Canis lupus familiaris: one gene and its partner. Each later gene encodes a partner of the first gene's protein in a complex. Links are inferred from orthologs where the notes say so. Each region holds a gene or a part of one and is shown on either strand. Other genes may lie near its edges. The genes, in order: creatine kinase B-type and ASB9.

Region 1 (4,281 bases):
AGGGCAGCCCGGGTGGCTCAGCGGTTTAGCGTCGCCTTCAGCCCAGGGTGTGATCCTGGAGACTCAGGATCAAGTCCTGTGTCGGGCTCCCTGCATGGAGCCTGCTTCTCCCTCTGCCTGTGTCTCTGCCTCTCTCTAACTCTGTGTGTATCTCATGAATAAATAAACAAAATCTTAACAAAAAAATAGCTGTGTAATACTCCCACGCTGGGTACATGCCTTCCTAGCCCTGGTCAGTCCCCAGGTGATGGGCATCGAGTTCTATCCAAGTTCATTCGTGCCTTTGCTTTTCCCACTGCACATTTCTATCTGCAAAGAGGAATGAGACTGTCCTTTGTGCAGGCTGGATTCCTAGAAATAGGATTGCTGGGTCATGGAGTACAAACATTTTTAATTCTAATAGATACTGCCAGATTACTTTCCAAAAAGGACGTGGCAGTTTACAGTTGCAGGGAGTGTGTGAATGCCGTCTCCACATTCCAACCCATAGCCAGCACTGGCTGGTGTCAGTCTTTCACAGTCTTGCCATCTGGGTGTGCTTGGGGCGAGGGGAGGAAGGTACAGTCCTTGTTGTTTTAATTTGGAGGATTCTGATTTTCAGTGAGATATTTTCCTTTGTTTCTAAATCTCACATATGCTTGTTGTTTGTTAGTGTTTCCTCCCATCTTTGCCGAGTCTCTGGGGACCGCCTTTGGGGGTGGGGTGATGAGATGAACTTGTCCCCCGTCCAGGGCTGGGGTCTGGAGACTCTGAGACTGTGCACTCCCCAGCGGCCTACCAGGGCCACAGTGTTCTCTCCTCTACCAGGAAAGGCTGGCCCCGGGGGTCTCTGGCTGGGGTTCCCGAGAACTGGGGGACTTGCCCAAGGTCAAGGCACCGCGGGCGCCGCCCCGCTGGGCCCCAGCCAGACTGCGCCTCCCGCGTGCCTTCACTCTGCACCAAGATCGCCCGGGAGATGCCTGCGGGCACCTTGAGGAAGGTCGGCGGCTCCGGTGCAGCTCCGACCCGGCGGGGGTAGGGTGGGGGAGGAGCGAGTACCTGCGGCGAGAGCCCGGGACGCTCACGCCTGGACCCTCGTCGCGACCACCGTGGGGGCTGGCGGGACCAGGGAAGGCCAGAGCCCGGATGCAGAGGAGCCCGAGCGTCTTCAAGCGCCCAGTGGCTCTCCTGCCTCAGTTTCCCGCCCGGACGCAGCGTGGGAGGGAATTTCCAGGACGTCCAAGGGCCTGAGGTTTCGGCAGCGGGGTCCTGGGCAGGCGCCGGACGGGGAAGGCGGGCTGCGCGGGGTCCCGGCGAGGGGACAGCAGAGGTGGGCGGCCTTGGGGGGTTGTTGGGGGCCGCGGGTGGCGGACAAAGCGGCGGCACCACCCCGCAGCGCGGGCCAATGGAATGAATGGGATATAAATAGCGGCCAATGGGCGGCTCGCGTCGCGCCCCTTAAGAGCCGCGGGAGCGCGGAGCCGCCGCTGTTCGCCTGCGCCGCGCCCGGAGCTGCCGACGGACCGACTGCCCCTTCCCCGCCCGGCCACCCGGTGAGTGGTGCCACCCGAGGCCGCCTGTGCTCGGGGGCGGGGGCGCTGCTCAGGGAAGGGCCTTGTAGGCCGCGGAGTCCTGCACGCCACGGTTCGCCGCCTGGAGCGCGCGCTGGCTGGGCCTGGGGTTGGGGTCCTGGGCGGAGCGCGAGCGCCCCGCGCGCACTGCGGCCCCTGCTGACCTTGGCCGCGTCCCAGGGTGACCAGGAGCCCGGGCGGCGAGGCCCTGGGTGGCCCGCAGGTCCCGGGGGGCCCGACGCGCCGGGTCCTGGCTGACCCCCCAGTCTCCCCGCAGCCTGCCGCCCGCCGCCGCCGCCGCCGCCATGCCCTTCTCCAACAGCCACAACACATTGAAGCTCCGTTTCCCGGCCGAGGATGAGTTCCCCGACCTCAGCGCCCACAACAACCACATGGCCAAGGTGCTGACCCCCGAGCTCTACGCGGAGCTGCGCGCCAAGAGCACGCCGAGCGGCTTCACGCTGGACGACGTCATCCAGACCGGCGTGGACAACCCGGGTACGCGCGCCCGGGGCCCGGGGTCTGGGTGCGGCCCCCTGATCCGTAAGACAGCCTTTGGGGTTAGGATCCAGAGCTAACCCCAGAACCCCTCTCAGGCCAGGGTTTCGGCGCCCCCTTCCCGCGCGGAGCTGCGGGGTCCTGAGGGCCTCGCTTAGGCCTGGCAAGTGACATCACTGTCCCCATTCCGTGTTCCCCCAGGCCACCCCTACATCATGACCGTGGGCTGCGTGGCAGGCGACGAAGAGTCCTATGACGTGTTCAAGGAGCTCTTTGACCCCATCATCGAGGACCGGCACGGCGGCTACAAGCCCAGCGACGAGCACAAGACCGACCTCAACCCCGACAACCTGCAGGTGCGGAGCGGCCCCGGGTAGCGGGGCGGGCTGGGTAGGGGTCTCCCGGCGCTCACCTCCGCTCCCGCCCCCAGGGCGGCGACGACCTGGACCCCAACTATGTGCTGAGCTCGCGGGTGCGCACGGGTCGCAGCATCCGCGGCTTCTGCCTCCCCCCGCACTGCAGCCGCGGGGAGCGCCGTGCCATCGAGAAGCTCGCCGTGGAAGGTAGGGGTCGGGCCGGCCGGTTGCCCCCCACCCCCCATCCGGCTTGTTTATCAGTCACCGCAGTCACCCGAGCCTCCGCTGCCACGCTCTTATCTGCGCGCCGGGTCCGGTTTCCCGGGGGGACGGAGGCCCAGCCCCGTGTCTGTGGCGGCCTGGGCCGGGTTCCCACAGAGCCGGGGGGCCCTGGGGGCAGGGGCTCGAGTGTGCCCTCCTGAGCGTGCCCCTCTGCAGCTCTGTCGAGCCTGGACGGCGACCTGGCCGGCCGGTACTACGCGCTCAAGAGCATGACCGAGGCGGAGCAGCAGCAGCTCATCGACGACCACTTCCTCTTCGATAAGCCCGTGTCGCCCCTGCTCCTGGCCTCGGGCATGGCCCGCGACTGGCCGGACGCCCGCGGCATCTGGTGTGTGCCCCCTTCCCCGCCCGCGGGTCCCCTTCCCTCCTCCCTTTGGCCCTCCCCCACGCCGCCGCCAAGGAGGAAGAGGGAGGGGCCGCGCTCCTGGGACAGGTTGGTGCCTCCAGGGCCTCCTCGTAGGTGACCTTGACCGCGCAGGTACGTGAAGGGACTCCAACTAGTGGAGGCCGAGGCCTCGCGGGATCTTAGAAGTGGGCGGCGGGTGGCGTCGGCTTCTCTCCTCCACTCTCCTCTTGGGAGCTGGAGCTTGTTTTGCGTCTCCTTTCTCATCCCCTTCCCCGCGGGGACTGCCAGGTGCTGGGTGACGCAGATGCTTCCTAGTGGGGGTTGGGGGCGGCGGGAGGCTTACAGCCTCCTGCCTCCAGGGTCTGCGAAGGGCGGCTTCAGCCGCCAGATGACGCGTCTCCCTGCCCCTTACCTCCTCACTGGAGCCGCCGCCCCCTCCCCCACACCTGGGTCACACCGCAAATGACTGGCAGGCTGGGGCACAGCTCAGGTCCTGGCCTCCCTGCATACCTCCAAAGTGTGGATGGCTCTGGGGTCCTGGCAGCAGCCCAAGTATCTGGGTACAGCTGGACTGAGCACCTCAGGGAGTTGGAGAGTTCCTGGGGTCTCAGGCCCCCCTAGAGCTTTTTTCTGGATGTATCCTGAGACCATAGTCCTAGGAGGCGGCCTGACTGTGCCCCTCCCCCAGGCACAATGACAATAAGACCTTCCTGGTGTGGATCAACGAGGAAGACCACCTGCGGGTCATCTCCATGCAGAAAGGGGGCAACATGAAGGAGGTGTTCACTCGGTTCTGCAACGGCCTCACCCAGGTCAGGCCTGACTGCCCCAAGCTGGGCTGGCACAAGTGGGCTTTGGTGCCAGGGAGGGGGCAGGGCAAGCTCCAGAGCTCCAGAGCTCAGGCAGGGATGTGGGTGTCCCCACCAATTTCCCTGGCTCCAAGGGTCCCAGCTGGTCCCCCCAGCGGGCCTCTCAACCAGGTCTCTCCTCTCTTGTCAACCTCCAGATTGAAACACTTTTCAAGTCAAAGAATTACGAATTCATGTGGAACCCTCACCTGGGCTACATCCTCACCTGCCCATCCAACCTGGGCACAGGCCTGCGGGCAGGTGTGCACATCAAGCTGCCCCACCTGGGCAAGCACGAGAAGTTCCCGGAGGTGCTCAAGCGGCTGCGGCTTCAGAAACGAGGCACAGGTGAGTGGGACGGGCTGTAGGCAGTCTTCTGTCCGGAGCAGGCCCCCACCCGC
Region 2 (3,802 bases), on another chromosome or scaffold:
GTGGTTTTGTGAGGATTGAGGGAAGTGAGGTATTTGATTTTTACTTAGAGAATGAGAATCAGGATGGCATAATGAGATCCCTTCCCTAGGATCTCAGTAGGTCCCTACCGGAAAGTGGGGACCAGTAAGTCTTCCATTCACTACGTCCCCTCAAGGTCAAAAGTGACAGACAAGTCTGATTAGAAAATTACATATGTGGGTTTCTCATGTTCTCTCAACCTGTATTTCCTGAGCATTTGTTACATGCCTAACCCTGGATGAAGATCCTTAGGAACTTATAAATTAGATGAGGACCCAGCCAGATAAATAGGCGAATTAACAAATATCACACTCGTCACATTAATAGATAAAACCTGAAATCTTGGTGGCCTGGTACAACACAAGCATATTTCTTACTGAACTGAAACTCCAGTGGGGGTGTTCCTGGTTGGGTGGCTCTTTCCTGGGGGTGATTCAGGCACACAGGTTCCTTTCATCCTGTCACCCCACCATCTTCAACAAGTGACTTCCACATATGCTACTAGTAGTCACCTCCACTCCAGGAGTTTGGAAGGAGAAAAGATGTGGAGGGTTGTGCACAGAGGACTTTTAAGGGCCTATCTTGGCCGTGACGTATGTCACTTTTGGCCCCACATCCCATGGGCCAGAACTTGTCTCATGGCCTGGGAAGCTGGGGAGTGTAGTCTGGCTGTGTGCCCCGGAGAGCGAGCGGAAGTAGCTTTGTCGGATGCACATCTCTGCCACAGCGGGCAGTTACCAAACATTGTTTCTTCCTGTTCTATTTGGCTGTGTAACAAGCCACCACAACTGAATGACTTAAGACAACAGCCATTTACTTATCTCACAGTTCCTGTGCCAGCCAGATAGGTCTGACCTGGCCTGGTTCGGCTGACCTCAGCCGGGCTTACTTAGGCCTTGAAGGTTAGCTGACAGGTTGGCTGGGGAGGGCCGCTTCGCAATGACCTTGGCTGGGATGGCTGGGGTGACAAAATCTCTGTGTGGTCTCTCATCCTTTCACAGGCAGCCTGGCCTGGTTCCCATGGTAGCAGGGATGCCTAGAGCATCAAAAAGAAGGCAAGCTCTCATTTGCCATCGTCCCACTGGGCAAAGCAAGTCCCATGGGTGAGCCCAGGTTCAAGGATTAGAAAAGTAGTCTCCATCTCTTGATGGCAGGAATTGCATTGCTACATGGCAAAGGGATATGCAGACAGTGCGGAGAATGTGTGGCCATTTTTGCAAACCACCACCGTGTGGCAAGAGTGAGTGCTGTGATGGGGGAGAGGAAGTCTGAAGAGGCTTCCTAGGAGGAATGATGTCTAAGTTGAAACTCAAAGGATCTATTGGAATCAGCCAGTTGACTGGTGGGTTGGGGCAAGTTGTGTGCTTCCCGCCCACTGGGAAGGGCTGTTGTAAAGGCCTGGAAGTGAAACTGAGCAATTTAAAAAAAATAAATTTCAAATCGCTCCTTATGGCAGCAGAGTGGGTAAGAGGGGCCAGCACACAAACAGCCTTGTTGTCCTTGCCAGGAAAATGGGCTTTGTCCTGAGAGCAGTAGTAGAGAGCCATCGGTGAGTGCATCATCGGGTTTATATAGGGTTTGAGAAAACCCACTCCACGTGTGGAAACAGGACCAGGACTCAGGGGAGGCCTAAGGGCACCTAGGATGCCAGCTCTGGAGAGCCACTGCCTCTCAGGGTTGTTGAGCACTTGCGTGGGCCTGGAAGGGAGGGTCTCCTTAAACTTTGCACCCGGGACATCTTCTGTGCCTCACTAGTCCTGGCCTTCCTTGGAAATGGTTTGTAAGAAGGCTCTTCTCGTCTGCAGTATAGTTTCTCTTAACAGTGTAGAAAAGTTGCATTTGGCTTTGTTCTTCCCTATTTGGTTATAGCCCAGACACTGTGAAGTCAGATGTGAACTGCAAGTTTCTGTCAGGTTTCCCACGTTAGGAAAGATGGCCCCAAAGACTGTAGTTTTCTGGCCCTGAAGGACGGTAGCCAGTCTTGTATCTGTTAGCAAATTTATTTCAGCATTAATTGACTGACTATATAAATTCCCCTTTGAGCCAGCCTTACCATCTTCCTGGTTCTCTCCCTAATGAACGAATTGAAGGAAATCTTTGGCACGTATTCACCCTATATTTCTGTGAAAGTCATGTTTTAAAATAAAAAAAAAGTAACGTTAATAATACGTTCCTCTCACTACTGTAAAGGACACTGGACTGGTGTGGGACAGGTCTAGGGTGGAACATTTAAAACAAGGAGAGGAGTTTGTAAGCTATATAGGATCATCCCAACTGGCTTCAGAATTCCTGTTCCTGGGGGCGTGGAAGTGATAGAACATTCGGCAACATGTTCGGTGCCTCAGCTCATTCGGTTTTTCACAACCTTGTGGAATTTGGTTGTTGTTGTTTTTGGAATTTGCTATTTTTGTCGTCATGTTATAGCCGCGGAATGGGAGGCTCAGGGAAGTCAAATAACAGCTTGACAGGAGTGGAGGCTAGATTTGAACCCTGGGCCCCCACCACCTGCCTTCAGCCTGGCGCTCTTCTTTCCAGGTGGATGGCGTTACCACCGACTGGCACACCCCTTTGTTCAATGCGTGCGTCAGCGGCAGCCAGGACTGTGTGAATTTGCTTCTGCAGCATGGGGCCAGCCCCCACGCCGTGAGTGACCTGGCATCGCCCATCCACGAAGCTGCTAAGAGAGGTAAATCTATGGAGAATTTACGTTTTCCGCCTCTCCTTCCGCAGACATCTTACTGTTGCAAGGACGAAGCAAGCGGAGGGGTGGTTTTGAGGGACCTTTTCTCAGTGTGAGGTCCTGGGACCGGAAGCATCCGCCTGGCCTGGCGTGCAATTGCAGACTCTTGGCCCCCACGCCAGACACACAGAATCAGCAACTCCGGGGTGGGGCCCGGCCATGCGTGTTTTGTTTAGCAAGCATCTAGGTGATTCCGATGCACAGAAAGTTTGGGAACCACCCTTTCGGAGCATCTGGAAAGTTGTTCACTGCTGTAGTTCTGGAACGGGGTCTGGCACATAGTAGAACTATCCATGCATATTTGTGGAATATACTGTTGAACCCATGACCCCGTATAAATCCAATTATTTTGTAAAACACCCTCTACTCTTCTGTTTTCGGGCCTTAAAGAATATTGTCTCGGGGCCACCTAGGTTTTTTAAGTGAAACACACTTTGGATTTTTGGAAAATAAGGTGCCATATACGGCTGGGGGTAATTCTCCACGCCTGACTCTATCGAGGTATACCTGACAAAGTTGTATTTCTTTCGGGTGTACTAACATGATGACTTGATAGACACCCACATTATGAAGCAGTTGCCACAATGAAATTAACGAAAACACAGTTACCATTTTTACGTGTGGGGAGAACACTTAAGATGTATCCTCTTAGCAAATTTCAAGTATACAGTATTGGTATTATTGCATAATGTTGGACATGAGATCCCCAGCACTTACTCAGCTTGGGGTAATTCTTTTTTTTTAAGATTTTATTTATTTATGAGAGAGAATGAGAGAGAGAGAGGCAGAGACACAAGCAGAGGGAGCAGCAGGCTCCACGCAGGGAGCCCGATGTGGGACTCGATCCCAGGACCCCAGGATCACGCCCTGAGCCAAAGGCAGACGCTCAACCGCTGAGCCATCCAGGCGGCCCTGGGGTAATTCTTTTTCATAAAGTCACAGCTTTCCCGATATTCTTAACTCGGACACAAAAAATACAATGGCAAGTTTTGCTTCCCCCCAGCGTCCATTGCCGCCGTCATCCCCATCCTGACCGCACGCTG

The links.
Region 2: the proteins of creatine kinase B-type (region 1) and ASB9 are in contact, whole or in part, in a cryo-EM structure (PDB 6V9H), measured with the Homo sapiens proteins. The link is inferred for Canis lupus familiaris from reciprocal best matches to the Homo sapiens genes CKB and ASB9. Residues at the interface, in NP_001814.2 of Homo sapiens: Asn63, Pro64, Gly65, His66, Pro67, Tyr68, Ile69, Thr71, Arg130, Arg132, His191, Val198, Ser199, Pro200, Leu201, Leu202, Leu226, Trp228, Glu232, Ile238, Met240, Asn286, Arg292, Gly303, Lys304, His305, Glu306, Lys319, Arg320, Gly321; in NP_001026909.1 of Homo sapiens: Leu25, Asn27, Pro28, Leu29, Met30, Gly31, Asp32, Ala33, Val34, Ser35, Asp36, Trp37, Pro39, Glu42, Ile45, His46, Trp60, Ala67, Asp68, His69, Glu75, Ala100, Asp101, Trp102, Val111, Asp133, Leu134, Ser165, His166.

Annotation. Positions count from the first base shown.
Region 1 is NC_049229.1:71,688,402-71,692,682, reverse strand, and holds the start of creatine kinase B-type, read left to right. Parts: upstream 1-1,371; 5' UTR 1,372-1,532; intron 1,533-1,827; 5' UTR 1,828-1,855; coding exon 1,856-2,048; intron 2,049-2,249; coding exon 2,250-2,404; intron 2,405-2,478; coding exon 2,479-2,611; intron 2,612-2,842; coding exon 2,843-3,014; intron 3,015-3,720; coding exon 3,721-3,844; intron 3,845-4,038; coding exon 4,039-4,228; intron 4,229-4,281. UniProt on the Homo sapiens protein: Reversibly catalyzes the transfer of phosphate between ATP and various phosphogens (e.g. creatine phosphate).
Region 2 is NC_049260.1:11,557,192-11,560,993, reverse strand, and holds part of ASB9 (ankyrin repeat and SOCS box protein 9), read left to right. Parts: intron 1-2,554; coding exon 2,555-2,705; intron 2,706-3,802. UniProt on the Homo sapiens protein: Substrate-recognition component of a cullin-5-RING E3 ubiquitin-protein ligase complex (ECS complex, also named CRL5 complex), which mediates the ubiquitination and subsequent proteasomal degradation of target proteins.